3 linked regions of the Coturnix japonica genome follow. The protein of the gene in region 2 purifies or fractionates together with the protein of the main gene of each other region. This does not show direct contact. Links are inferred from orthologs where the notes say so. Each region holds a gene or a part of one and is shown on either strand. Other genes may lie near its edges.

Region 1 (4,909 bases), on a different chromosome or scaffold from region 2:
GGTAGATACTGCCCTTGCAGCGGTTGTATGGAGAGGCTACAGGAGAGGCAAAGAGGAACAGTCAGCAAGGGATTTAGTTCCTCCTGACCTCCATCCATCCTCACTCACTAGGTGAAACCTCACGGCAGAGGAACATCAAAACAGGGACTCCAGATGCCTCAAGAGCCTTCAAAAAGAGGTATTAAAACAGCAAAACAAGCAACAGTGGATGAGGATCAGAGTGGTAGTGAACATCATGAGAAAGGCAAAGCAAGAGCAAAAAAGTCTTTGAAAGCTTCATTTGTGTGTTGTGCTGCGTGTATTAACAGCTGTGGGGTTTTGTGCCTACAAACTGCAGCCCGTGGGTGCACACACACAGCTGACAGCCGAGCACAATCATTGCATCAGCATTAGAGGAGGAACAGGCAAAGACAGACTCACAGGAATACAGCAAATATTTCTAAAGCAACATCAGAAAGTGAAGTTTACTGCAACCTCAAATGGTGTCTATGAGAACAGACTGATGCAGATCAATATGATTTAAAACCCCAACTTCAATTGCAATTTATGGTCAATGACAGGAAACCTCAAATGAAGCAATCAATTTCAATCTTGCTCCTAGAGCACACGTGCAAAACACCAAAACAAAAGGCTGATTTTGATCAGCTGTGCACAGCAAAACCTGCTGATCAGCAGCAAGAACCAGAAAATGTGGGCTAAGCTCAGCCTGCACAGTAAATGCAGCCTGGAGGATGCTTTCTAGATTGCACATGACAGTGGTGCCGTCCTCACAACCCCTCTTCCAACATAAAAAGAGAAAAGCTTAAAGTCTGAGAACAGTCAATGAAATGTTTCTGTTTTTCACTTGAATCTGAGGTCAAGGTAGAAAAGTAGAATTTAAACAAGACCCAAACAATCTGACACAGCTACAAAAATATTGACCTGAGACGTGCCAGCAGCATGCAGTCATCACAGCTGGTTTAATCAATCCAAGAATTAAACATTAACTCAGTGTTTTTCCTCCTACCTACTGGTTCAAAAACCGACAGTTACCTACATTCTATGGAGCAACACCAAGTTCCCAGACCTAGGCCTGAGATTCCTACCAGTTGAGTGTAAAAAACAGCAGCAGAAAGGTGCTATTATCAATTGTATTTAACCAAAAAGAACTGACTACAGCATGGCAGGCTTTAATATCATCTGTCGCTTTCCAAACCTCTTTTGCAGTACAAATCCATATAAGAGAAGGATATATAAAAATGAGGAAATGCTTTAAAATGATTTCCCTGGAAACTGAGCCTGGCCAGGTGCATTAAGCACATCAGTCACACAGCAGAGACGTGCTGCCTCCCCCAGGGACTGCCTGCAGCGATGAGATGGAACAGCAGCTCAGCACAGAGCAACTGAATTGCTCACTGTGAAGTGGCAGCACTTCCAATCCAGCCCTCAAAGCCTGGGGGGTTCTGTCATGCACAGGAGAGGCTGAGCAAGTCTCCAGCTGGAGCTGTCACCAGCACAAAGCTCCACGAGCTGCAGAAACACGGCTCCTGCTCCCAATGGCATCAGCATCATAAAGCTGCAAAACCACCACCAGGCAGAAAACGTTCTGTTTCACATTCTCTCCTGCTGCAGGTTCATTTAAAGCCATTCAGCCAGCACACAGACAGCAGTCACTGAGACAGCACAGGCATGTGCCAGCAGCACTGACAACAGCTTTTTCCAGCCAAGCTGCAGCACAGTAGCACTCATTCAAAATGAGTTTCCACAGATGAGCGTGTGGTCACCCCAGATTAAACACATGCTCAGCTGGAGGATCCACCCCCAGTGCAACACAGCAGCCTGCTGAGCCAAGAACAAAGGCTGAAAACAGACACCCCCTCAGCACAGCACAAATGAGACCCCGGCAGCTACCTTTGGTCCTACAGATTTCTATGAGGTTCACCACATTCTCATGCTTCAGCAGCTGGAGGATTTTAATCTCTCGCAGAGCTGTGATGGGGAACTGGAAAGGAGAAGACACAGGTTAGGAGTGCAGCTCACATCTGCTTATAGAACAGGAGAGATTGGACTGCTGCAGCACAGGACACCTGCTTGAGTAGCACTGCAACAGCTCATTTAAGAGTAATTGAAACTACAAAACATTACAGGGGCGACAAAACTCATTGGCCACCCTTAGGATTCTGCCACAAGGTGGAGGTGTTTGTGTGACATGGACACCTGCCCTCCTTTCCCATCTATGAGCACAGCACATGGCAAAGCCCCAATTGACCCACAGCACAACCACCCCACCCCCATGTGCTGTGTGCTGTTACTCAAGACCTGGCACGTTACAGCAGTAAACACCATTAAAGTTAATACACACTGATGTTCCATAGCCCACCCCCCACCCCATCCCCTCCATAGCACAGCACAGCTCACACCTACCCCCTCCTTCTCGTTCTCCATCAGCACCTTCTTCAGCGCCACCTTTTTCCCCGTCTGCCGGTGTTTGGCTTTGAACACCTCCCTGTAACAACAAGAAGAGACCCATGTAACAACAAGGACCCATATAACAACACGGAGAGACCCACGTAACAACAAGGACCCACGTAACAACAACAAGGACCCATATAACAACACGGAGAGACCCATGTAACAACAACAAGGCCCCATGAGCCCCATAAGGAGGAGGCCGAGGCCCGCAGCCCCCACAGCACAAAGGCCCCGGGTCAGGCCGCGGCCTGTTCCCCATGACGCTGAATAACAGCAGATAATCGGCCCCATAGGAGCCATGCCCGGGCTGGGAGCAGAGCCGAGGCCCGCAGCGCTCACCCGAACGTGCCCTGCCCGATCTTGGCGAGCTTCTCGTACTTGGACACCTCATCGCAGAACGGGCACTCCACCATGTCGTACTGCTTGGCCATGCCGGCCGACGGCTTCACTTCCGCCCTCTCGCCTTACGCTATTTCCGGCGCGCCGGCGCGCTGCCTGCTGGGATTTGTAGTCCACCTTAGGCCGCCATGTTGTCACCCCGGATAAACCCGTATCACCCTGCGGCTTTATGGCTGTCTATAGCTGTGTGCCCGCGTTCCCTCCCTCACAGTGTCACCCACATAGGAAGGGCCGTGGCCATACAGGGACACTCCATAGGACAAGGCCCTGGGGCTGCCCACCAGCTCTGGGCCACTGCATCCCCCATAGAAATGACCCCACAGACAACACAGCTCCACCAGCACATGGTGCAGTGGGGCCTTGGGGCTCCACCATGGAGCTGAGCCCCATATGGGGACCTCCAGCCATGGAGCTGCCAGCCTGCCCCATGCCGGCACCCAGCCATTCAAGGGCGGCCCTAAAGCACATTAATCCCATTAATGGCACCTGAGCAGCCAGGAGGGGACTGTAGGGACAACAAGGGATGGGACTGCAAGGATCACAAGGGATGGGAGCACAGGGACAGCAAGGGATGGGACTGCAGGGACAATATGGGATGGGAGTGCAGGGATCACAAGGGATGGGAGTGCAGGGACAACAGGGGATGGGACTGAAGGGACAATAAGGGATGGGAGCACAGGGACAATAAGGGATGGGACCGCAGGGGATAGCGGGGACAGCAGCTGCCATAAGAGCAGATGGCAGCAGCGAGGAGGAAGCGCTGAGTGATTGAGAGAGCAAAGCGAGAGGCGGAGGGGGGACAGGAAGGGAGGAGCAGGCAGGGACAGGCTTCAAGTTTATAAACTTGTCCCTGCAGCCTCCACCCAGCACAGCCATGGCTGAGGGCCAGAAACGAGGGGGCTTCAAGAAATTCAGTAAGTCGTATCGGGATGGAGGGGGTGGGTGCTGGGTGCTCACCTGGGCTGGCGTGGGTGGGAAGGGGGTGTGTGAGTGTGAGCGTGGTCACCTCTCATTAGCAAGAAGTCTTCAGTTTTGTTAGGAAACTGGGGGCTCTGGGGGCTTCCATCCCCACAGCTGGAGCAAACCCTGGTGCTGATGGCTCTGGTGCTGGGGTTGGACTGGGAGCAGTCTGCTTGCACTGGTTGCCAGCATGTGACAGGGGTGAACCATTGCTCTGATCCCCCAAATCACAGCTTTCAGGGAGCATTTACCCCTCTGCATGGCTGGGGCTGGTGGTGTCCAGGAGCCCTCTGTGTGCTCCTGCAGCAGAGGGATGGGGTGGATGCTGGGGATAAATCTGCACTGATGGAGCCGCGCTCGGGACCGAAGCGGTGGGAGCTGAGCACAGAGGAAGTGCTGCTGCCCACCAGGAGGGAGCTGAGCTCTTTCTCACAGCCCTCGGGTTTTCCCCAAAGCCCTCGGAGGAGGCTCCATGGGGCTGCACGCCGCCAGCGCTGCACTGAGCAGGACATTGCCTTCACTGCTGCTCCCCGCATTCCTCTGCCTCCATCATGCTGATGCCGGCGCCGGAGGGAGGCCGACCCCTGAGCTCCCCCGGGAGCTGAGCAAAACCCATCTCCCACGGCCCCGGCCAAGCTGGGATTTTCCATTGTGGTGGAATGCGGGGGAAATGGGGAAGGCCCCCAGCTTTCCCACCCTGCAGCAGCCTCAGATGCAGAGGATGCTCGGATGCAGAGGGGATGTTTAACCTGAAGCAGTTTTGTCATTAACAGAGTCCAGGTCATGAGGTTTTGGCTATGCAGGAGTGCTTCTGGGTTTCTGCAGCCCCATTTGGCAGCAGGGGCACCCTGCAGACTGTGCAGGACATGGGCCCTCAGCACCCAGGCTCCTAGCAAGGTACTGCTGCAGCATTCAGCTTCCTGCCCCAGCAAATCTGGAGGGGAAGAGGCTTTGCACAGAGCCCTGCTGTGTAAGCATTGCAAAACCCCGGGGGCACTCAGAGCACCAGGCCTCCAGCTGAGCAGTGCTGCTGTGCCCCATGTGCTGACACTGGGGTAGCACCACGGCAGCACACAGTGCCAAGGTGTGAAACACAGAG
Region 2 (4,567 bases):
CAACTTGGAAGTTCAATGCAATTGAGGACTCTGACAAGTGATATAGACTTCCCACACAACACTGATGGGCTAATGATTTATACTTCAAGTATGGAATCCTTAAGAAAACAAAGAACACACTTATGGAATCTGAAATGCATTATTTCTTTTGCTGGAAAAGGACTGTCTGTCTCTATAGATACAGCACAACTGATATAATCCATCTGGAGTAACACAATTGAGCAAATATACTGATAGATCATCTTAACCACAAATTTACTATTCTTAAAGCAAAAAGCATAATTGTTAGTGCAGCTAATGTGTAAACTAACTTCTGCTTCAGGATGAGCTGAGTAGTTCCAAAACCAAGCTCTATCTCCTAACCTGAATTCAAATGAACCATGTCAAAAATGGCCAGTAGGAAAGAGACCTATAAAAGCCCCAGTAAAAGCAAATGCACAATCTCTCACATATCAAATCTGTCCAAGCAAGAGGAAGAAAGAATATAAAACTGCAAAAGGAAGTGACATTTTCATACCTGTATACAGCTACCCTACAATTCAAGTACTGTACGTCTATGGAAAACAGTAACCCATGTTTGCTTGCTTATGCTGTTGATTATATTAATAATAATAAAATCATCAATTCAGGTCTCTTAAACAGTCACTACAACTGTTGCAGATGCCTCTAACTTACTTCTACAGCTATTAGTAGAGGAAAGCAAAATAAATGCGTACAGATTCAAAGAACTATTAACAAGCTCATATACAACTGCTTTCTTCTAGACAAGCAAGCATGCACCTAAAAATAAATTGTAACATCACCTGCAATATAGCAAAGAAGAAAATTCAAATCATATCTGTTTACTGACATGCCATTAATATAAACTTACATCCATCTCTGGACTTTTCTATTTGCTCTCGAAGAAATCTATCTTTGTGGAGATTAACATCGCCAAACCAGAAATCCACCTGTTTAGCTATGTCTGCAAGCACCTGCTTCACCCTTGACCTCTTCTTTTTCTCCCTCTCTTTCTTCTGTTCAGTGCTTTCCTCTTCCATGGCTTTGTCTCTTGCAGCTTCAGTCTCCATTCCCGTCATTCTGCCAATCAAAAGTTAAATATAACATTTAAGAAAATCAAAGTACTGTTACAGTATGGAACAAACACTGTAATCCCATACAGTTATTTTCAGAAACTTTATCACATGAAAAGGAGCTTAACTTTACGCATGCCCTACAAAAACATGTACCATTCAGTACTGAGTAATGTTGAAAAATATTAAGTACAGAGAAGGCTATGCTGAAACCTAAGTCTCACAGCTCCTTGCAATGCCCTCCAGCCATAGCAATTCACTGCAGACAGGTTGGTACCAAACCACAGGCTTTCCATTGAAAATCTGTGCTACCGTGTTAATCCAGAAAGCTTCACGAGCAGCCTGCTCTCCCCATTAAGATTACTAAGGAAACATGCACTGTCAGAAAAGCAAGGCTATTAACTAATGTTACTGAATTACTAGAAGTACTTGTGGAGGTAATTAAGCATCCTTCAATAAGTCAAATTCCTCGTTAGCAGAGAAGGAAACAACCTGTTAAAGGGAGTTCACAAAACCCATCTTCAAGTAGATCTTTGCCCTCCTAAAAATAAATATAAATATCCAATAAATCTCACTGGAATAGGCTCCCCAGGGAGGTGGTTGAATCGCCATCCCTGGATGTGTTTAAGAACCGTTTGGATGTGGTGCTCAGGGATATGATTTAGCAGAGGGTAGTTAGAATTAGGGTAATATAGCTGGGATGTGGTTGAATTTGATGATCTTTGAGGTCAAAACTTCTAGGTACATCAATTCAGGTTTTTTTTTTGTCTGGTGTTTCAGCTCACTGGAGGTATACAGTCATCCTAGAAGAAAATGCCAGTCACCACAGCGCTTTACTCAAGCCAAACAAAGCAATACCGGCAAAAGCAGACAGCTTTTAGAAATAAAATTAACACAAAAAATAAAGCGATTAATATGGAAATCATCATTTGAAAGACTCCTCAGCTCGTAAGGAAGCACAAGTACAGCCATCAGCGAGGAAGCTGACATCTGCAACAGGGCAACAATGGAAATAGTCTTCAAATTATTGTGCAAATGTGGCTCCTCAGCCGGGGATCAGTTTCTCTCCCCGCTGTGAGCTGACCACTCAGAACAGCGAAAGGGCAATTATCTTGGAGAGATAAACCAGGTAGAACTCTCCCAACTGAAGTTCAAGCTACATTCGAGCCCTTCAGCAACTTACATTAATTACTAGCACACCGCTTAGCTGAAAGCTACAGTGAGTTCCACCATTACAGGACACTTTCTTTAGTTGAACAGTATTTTATGACCCCGCTAACACATAACGAATATGACTTATGAACGGCAAAGCTTTATTTTAAAAACCCATCTAAAGCATTTCATGTATTTCTAGTCACTCAGGAAACACCAACAGGCACAAGCTGTAATCTGTTCTGTTTTGCTCCTCCTCCTCTCCCATACCCACTTTTAGGCGCTGCTTTAGTGCTCTGTGATATCGAGCATTGATATCAAAGCTCGCTTGCTTACTGTAAGCACTTAAATATGAAGATAGGAGAAGGAGGGATCATATGAAACCTTATGCTATGTTTCCATACAGTAAATGACAATAATTTCTCTTCTGGACAAAACAAACGTTAAGTTTTTTTGTCTTGTGGATAAAATTCAGCACACCTCTGCTTTCAGAGATGTACATTGCAGACTGCCTTGGGCATTCTTTGCTTGGCATAAAGGAAGAGCTGTACCTCTTTTAACTCATTTCTTACCACAGAATCACCCGGGCTGGAAGGGACCTCAAGGATCATGTAGTTTCAACCCCCCTGCCTGGCAGGGCCACCAAACATACACATTTACTAGATCAGGTTGCCCAGGGCCCCGTCCCAACTGGCTCTGAACACCTCCAAGGACGGGGCACTTGTTACACTCCTCCCCTCGCACCCCGTTCCTGCGTGACCAGGGCAGCTCTTTTCAGCCGTTATAGCACTCAGCAGCCCTATTTCCAGGGCGGTGCAGCCGCCTATGCTCCAACTACGGCTCTCTCTTAAGGACGAGCGGCGCCCGCGCTGAGGTGATGCCCACAACCGCCACCCTTACACGCGCCCCCCACCCACAGCACGGCGGCACCGCCCCCTTTTCACTTGCCCCCGCCCCCAATGGTGACCCCCGCCTCTCCCTACTGACCTGTCGCGGGGCGGCGTCACCTCGTGTACCCCGTGTACCCCGTGCCACCCCCCGCCTCTCTCACAGCCGCCCTGTTCTCCGTGCCCTGCCCGACAGCCGTCACGACGGGCGGCCCCGGCGGAGAGCAAAGCACCGCCCGGTGGCGGACGGCGCGCATGACGCCGGGAAGTGTTTGGAGAGGCCGCGCCTGGCGAGGAGCACGTGATTTCTCTCGGCGCCGTCGTTGCGTGGTGACGTCACGCGCTGTGGCGGGAAGTTCGGAGCGCGGCGGGACGGGTCGGGCCGCTCAAGGTGTGTGTGTGTGTGTGTGGGGGGAGCTTGAGCTGTGGGCCGCCTTCGGGCCGTGTGTGGGGGTACGTAACGCGCTGGGTCACGCGTGTGCGTGGGTCTCTCGGCCTTATATCGCTGCTTGTGGGGCTGACGGAGCGCTTGCCCATCTCCTTAGGGCGGTGTTGCTGTGCTGTCACTGTCAGCACGTCGGGGCGCAGCTGTGGGGGCGGACTGCCTGTCAGTTGAGCACGCATGGCCGGCCCGCCGGCTGGGAGCCGGTGAAGCGGTGACAACGTTCTTCTGTTAACGGTTTCTGGCTTTAATAAACAGTGTTTTATGCTGAGCCTTCTTCTGTTCTAGGAGAGTGGTTAGGTCCTGGAAAGGTGCCCAGGGAGTTGTGGCATGCCCCCCTTGGAGTTTTCAAGGCCAGCTTGGACGGGCCTGGGCAACCTGATCTAGTAAATGTGCTATGTTTGGTGGGCCACTGCCAGCAGGGGGTTGGAACTGACACTGATCCCTTGAGGTCCTTTCCAACCCGATCATTGTGTGATTCTGTGTGTTCCTCAGGTTGCGTGAAGTCTTTGTGCAATAAGCTGCTGAAGGGCCGTTCTGCTTATGAAATGTGAAGTTGACTTCTGAGTAGAATTAAGCCAAGGCAATGGCTTCTCAAGAATTTACTGTAAGTTTTTTAACGCTACGCCACTAAATATAAAATCAATGAAACGACACTGATGTGTTATTTAAAATGTTTTTCTTTACGTTTATGGTTGTTTCAACGTTTTGCCCTTTGAAACCAGGTGTTGTACACTCACCAGAAAATGAAAAAATCCAAAACGTGGCAAGATGGAGTTCTGAGGATTAGACCTGGAGAAAATAAGGTGAGTGTCTTTACATTGAAATCATCTGCTAGGCAATCAGTGGCCATTTCAACCACCTGTAAAGCAAAATTGGTTTTTTTTTGTGTGGTTTTTTTTTCTTCAATTCCATTTATTTTTCTTTGCAGGCGATCTTGTTTGATGAGAAAGGACAATATTTGGAGAGTATGTTTATAAAATCCCAGGTATCTTTTATTTGGAGCTTGATTT
Region 3 (4,892 bases), on a different chromosome or scaffold from region 2:
GCTTTAAAAACATACTTCTCCCACCAAGACTTTTCAGTGCAGTCTTACGTATTCTTGTCTGATTTAAAGGCCACATCTACTACATACAGAACATTTAAAGCAGCACAGAGATGCTAAGTAGAAATAATTTAATGCTTTAATTCACCTACTGGCATTATAAACATGGGAATGGTGAAGCTCTGGGTGACTTAGCACTGGGCCAGAAAACACAGCTATGTTTGTTGGCAGCACAAGGAATGGTGTAACTGCACAAACACAAACCTCACTCCAGGTTAAATGAAAGAACCAGCAGCAGAAGTAATGGAAAGAAGACTCCAACCCATAACAAAAGCAAAAACTAAGCACTTAACATCACCAAATGTACCTGCCTATGTAAAACAGACATATTGCATTGAACTTACCATGGTCATTGTATAGAGCTGCTTCAGTGAGTTCATTGTTCTCAGCAGAATTACTACAATTCCACCCCCTTCCACTGTTTCTACAGTTCTAGCCAGCAGGTTTGGAGTCAAGGCTTCAAAATCCTTGGAAATGAAAAAATAAACCTTAAAGTTGCCTAGAATTCTCAAGTGCAATAGCAGCTACTAAAAAGAAGAGAAGAACTATAAACATTTATCAGAGTTTGAATTAAACTTAACATTTGCATTAACCAACTTTCCATTACAATTCTAAGGCTGTGACCCCCCACAAAACTCATAAGTAAGGCCATCAAAACTTAAGTAACAGAAGCAACAAATAGAATTACTGCAGCTGTTCAACTCAAAGCAATCAATACTAGTGCAACATCCTTTACGTAAAAAGCTGAATTCCTTACCTGAAGCACACACATGCCAAAAGTGTTACCAAGGATCTTATGAGTTTCATTGTAATAGCAGTAGCGAATGTTTGTGGCTGCTATAAACAATTCGAAAGGATCATCATCTTTTATGTTCAAGGTTCCACTTTTAATCTTCTTCTGCAGTTGCCTCATTCTCTTCTTCCGGTGGCTGGAGAATAAAACTCCATGTAAGTTTTTCTGGGAAATGGTTTGAGAAGACTCTGCTCTCATTCCTAGTTTCAAGTCTAAATGGAATTCAGAGCTCGGGCTCCAAGGAAAAGTCTTGCATTACAAACACTGTACTCAGGGTATGTTCCCCAGTGCCTTTGGCCCAGAGCAGCACAAACAACACTGAACCAGCTGTTTTTGGAAGAAATCATCTGGTTGGAATCACACAGTTTCAAGTAACCCTTCCCAGTTTTGTGCCTGGACTTCAAGTATGATCGCAAATCTAAGAACTAACGTTTTAAACCCCTTTTTGAAATGAAAGCAACTGTAATGCCTCATCTGTACCCAGCTGTACATACTACTGAGGCACTGAAGTTTTGGCTGTTTGAGATTAGAAAGGTGAGGGAGAAATTGGCTCAGGACAACAGGGTTAGTGTTGAAACTACATAAGGAAACCAGAAGTACGTAGCACTGATGCCAACCATACCAGTGAAGCCAAATCTTAGCTCTGGAAAACTGAGCATCCTGTATCTGCTGCAAAAATAAGACTTGTTTCTCCTGATAATCAAATCAGCCCGTACTATGCAGAGCAGCCACACAGCTTCCCCTTCACACAGAGTACTACTGCAACACGAGATGCAAAAGGCCCCTTTACCTGCTAAAGCCCAGCTCCTTCTTGTAACACCACAGGACGGACGGCCTGGCCTTGACAGTTGCTTTGGACAACATGTGGTGCAGTATAACCACCTGCCAAGACACAGAAATATCAACGCATGATTGTATTCATAAGCTAACAAGGAGCAACATACATTTCAGCAGGGTCTGCTGAGACAAGACAAGGGCAAATGGTTTCAAATTAACAGAGTGGATGAAAGGAAGAATATGTTTATAGTAAGGGCGGTGAGGCGCTGGCACAGGTTGCCCAGAGAGACAGCAGATGCCCCATCCCTGTAGACACCAAAGGCCAGGATGGATGTGCTCTGAGCACCTCATCACACAGAATCACACAGAATGACCCGGGTTGGAAGGGACCTCAAGGATCATGTAGTTCCAACCCCCCTGCCTGGCAGGGCCACCAAACATACACATTTACTAGATCAGGTTGCCCAGGGCCCCATCCAACCTGGTCTTGAACACCTCCAAAGACGGGGCATCCACAACCTCCCTGGGCAGCCTGTTCCAGGGCCTAACCACTCTCCTAGTGAAGAACTTCCCCCTAACATCCAACCTAAATCTTCCCTCTTTTAACTTAAAACCATTTCCCCTAGTCCTGTTATTGTCAGCCCTTTAGAGTTTACTCCCCTCCTGGCAGTAAGTTCCCTTCAGGTACTGAAAGGCTGCAATGAGGTCACCCCGCAACCTTCTCTTCTCCAGGCTGAACAAACCCAACTCCCTCAGCCTGTCCTCATAGGGGAGGTGCTCCATCCCCCTGATCATCTTTGTGGCCCTCCTCTGGACCCTTTCCAAAATCTCCATGTCTTTTTTGTACTGAGGGCTCCACACCTGGACACAGTACTCCAGATGGGGCCTCACAAGAGCAGAGTAGAGAGGGACAATCAGCTCCCTATCCCTGCTGACCACCCCTCTCCTGATGGAGCCCCAGGATCCCATTTGCTTTCCGGACACCAAAGGCCAGGATAGAAGTGCTGTGAGCACCTCATCAAGCGGAGGCGTCCCTGCTCATTGCTCACCTGGTCCTTGCCGCGGTCACCTACCACCACGAAGAGGCCCCTCTGCCGCTCGGCCACCCCGTTCTCGATCAGCACCCGGATGCGGTTGTCCACCTTGCGGCGCTGCATGTTGCCGTCCGAGCTCTCGGCCCTTCTCCCCTCACTCCGTGTCCCGGCCGAAACCGCCGGTTCCACAAGCAGCGCCCGCGGAGCTGCCCCCAACACACGTGGGAGCCGCGCGGCGCAGGGCGAGAGCGACGCCGCTCAGGAAGGACCTCGAGGAGAGGCTGCCCCGGAGAGCGCCTGACAGCGGCGGCTCCCTCAGCGCGGGGCGAAGGAATAAAGGGGGATGGGGGCTGAAGGAACATGACTTCTGGTGCAGCTGTTATCCTATTAAGAGCTGATACTCATCAGTCTCACCCCAAACAAGCATTACTGTTGAGTTAGAACAGCATATTGCTAATACAGTTCTCTATAGCACTGCTCCAGTTGGCTTTAAGATGTGAATATGGGAAACTATTTTCCTTGCTTCCATTAAGGCTAGACCTACAGAATCACAAACAACACTGATCACATCATATTAAAAAGCCTAAGAAAACAAATAGAACAGCACCTCCTAGATAAGCCATTTAGGAAATTAGTTTCTTATCAGAGGCTCTGTGATACCACACCTGAAATCCAACATACCCAGATTATGAAATTATGTAGAAAGAGACAGAAATCCAAGATGCTGCCTCTAAATCTTTATATAAATAGATGAGGGTCAGAGCTTTCTTTCAGGTATAGTCTTCAAGCTTCATTAAAAGCCCACTTACAGCTTTCCCCTCAGGTTACATTCCCTAATGCTTAAATTAGATTATTTGAATGCAATATCAATCCCCAAACAGCCAGGTGCAGTGCTAACAGTAAACATCCTCTTTGCATCCTTTAAGATGTGCTGATTGGGATGAAAAACATTTAATATGCCACAAAATGCAAATAGTTGCAGCTGGGACAGCTTGAAGGACCTTCTCCCTCCCCCTCTGAAAAAATCATCACGGCCAAACAAAAGGAGTTTAAGTCATTACCTTTCTTCATGAGCATAGAGTGTGCTGATCTCACATTAAAGAACGGAATATTCCCAAAGGTAACGTAAAAGCTTCTTGTGCTTAATCCTGCAGCTGAACGTAAGGAATGTGACATTAGTATAAGACTAATTGCACGCTTAGTTTCTGATGTTGCGATGGAATAAGGTAGCCTTATGATTTACAGAAAGAATTACAAGGATCCCAAAGCAGTTTTGCAAGGCATTTTCTAGAAGATGATCATAACTATATTTAAGCTTAAGTTTTAAAAAGAAAACCACTATCTCTTGAAGCCCAGAAGGAAAACTTTCTTGTTTAGGACTTCTTGCTTGCAGCTCAAACAAAGCACTGATTTTCAGGTCACTCAGAGGTAAAAGATAACTACCCATCTTATCTGCAGAACTGATGGTGTCAGCTCAGCTGATTAAATGCCTTCATTGTTCTACACAGAAGGCAGATGGAACACTGTAACAATAAGGTACGCGGATCTGAAAGACTGAGGCAGTTCTGTTCATTTAATTGCAAACCTCATCTCCATCTACGAATTCCTATCTTTATAGTCCTCAAAAAGTTCATTCAAGATGAGTTTTGCATGGACAAGAGGAAGGAGCTTTAGCTTTCAAAGTGTGACTCCGATGGTCTTTCACAGAACTTAACGAGCAGCTTCTTCACGTCCCTTATTACCTACAGCAGACTTGAGATAAGGAGAAATCAGAAGATTACAGCACAGTTTTGCCCACTGATGCTTAACATCTGCATCTCAGATAAGCATTTCTGAGGAATAATAATTGCAAAGAAATGGTTTAAAAAGAAGAAATCAGCTACCTGGCTCGGCTACTGCCAGACCTTCAAATAAAGACCAGGAAGGTCAAAAATCTTCTGATCATTTACCTTATTCTGCTGGATTACGAAGTTTTTGCCCTATCTGCAGTTAATCACAGGAAGTTTTTGTTTATTATTTGTTATTATCACACTTTGAATATTTGCCTAGGGTTAAAGCCATTTCAACACCTCCCTTTCCAAAGTCATTACTCAAATGCCATTTGGGAAGAGTACAGCTCGCCCATTCTATACAACAATATACATTAAGGTAACCTCAAACCTAATCAGATAATCTACCTAAATTATAAGGTTTGAGAAGACTTTTAAGGTCCTGAAATTCTCTGAAAGTTA

Evidence for each region. Proteins that work in one complex are often made in the same cells at the same time.
Region 1: the proteins of LARP7 (region 2) and CDK9 purify together in Homo sapiens (affinity purification with mass spectrometry; 15 studies listed by BioGRID and IntAct, counting the BioPlex papers as one, with this or other methods). This does not show direct contact. The link is inferred for Coturnix japonica from reciprocal best matches to the Homo sapiens genes LARP7 and CDK9.
Region 3: the proteins of LARP7 (region 2) and NAT10 purify together in Homo sapiens (affinity purification with mass spectrometry; 3 studies listed by BioGRID and IntAct, with this or other methods). This does not show direct contact. The link is inferred for Coturnix japonica from reciprocal best matches to the Homo sapiens genes LARP7 and NAT10.

What each region holds. Positions count from the first base shown.
Region 1 is NC_029532.1:3,652,186-3,657,094, forward strand, and holds the start of CDK9 (cyclin-dependent kinase 9), read right to left. Parts: upstream 2,926-4,909; 5' UTR 2,883-2,925; coding exon 2,791-2,882; intron 2,486-2,790; coding exon 2,404-2,485; intron 1,982-2,403; coding exon 1,891-1,981; intron 37-1,890; coding exon 1-36. Other genes in the region: SH2D3C (SH2 domain-containing protein 3C), read left to right, coding at 3,725-3,764. UniProt on the Homo sapiens protein: Protein kinase involved in the regulation of transcription.
Region 2 is NC_029519.1:51,170,558-51,175,124, forward strand, and holds the start of LARP7 (la-related protein 7), read right to left. Parts: upstream 3,306-4,567; 5' UTR 3,213-3,305; intron 1,081-3,212; 5' UTR 1,080-1,080; coding exon 872-1,079; intron 1-871. UniProt on the Homo sapiens protein: RNA-binding protein that specifically binds distinct small nuclear RNA (snRNAs) and regulates their processing and function.
Region 3 is NC_029520.1:6,324,017-6,328,908, forward strand, and holds the start of NAT10 (RNA cytidine acetyltransferase), read right to left. Parts: upstream 2,926-4,892; 5' UTR 2,785-2,925; coding exon 2,677-2,784; intron 1,733-2,676; coding exon 1,641-1,732; intron 987-1,640; coding exon 815-986; intron 525-814; coding exon 402-524; intron 1-401. UniProt on the Homo sapiens protein: RNA cytidine acetyltransferase that catalyzes the formation of N(4)-acetylcytidine (ac4C) modification on mRNAs, 18S rRNA and tRNAs.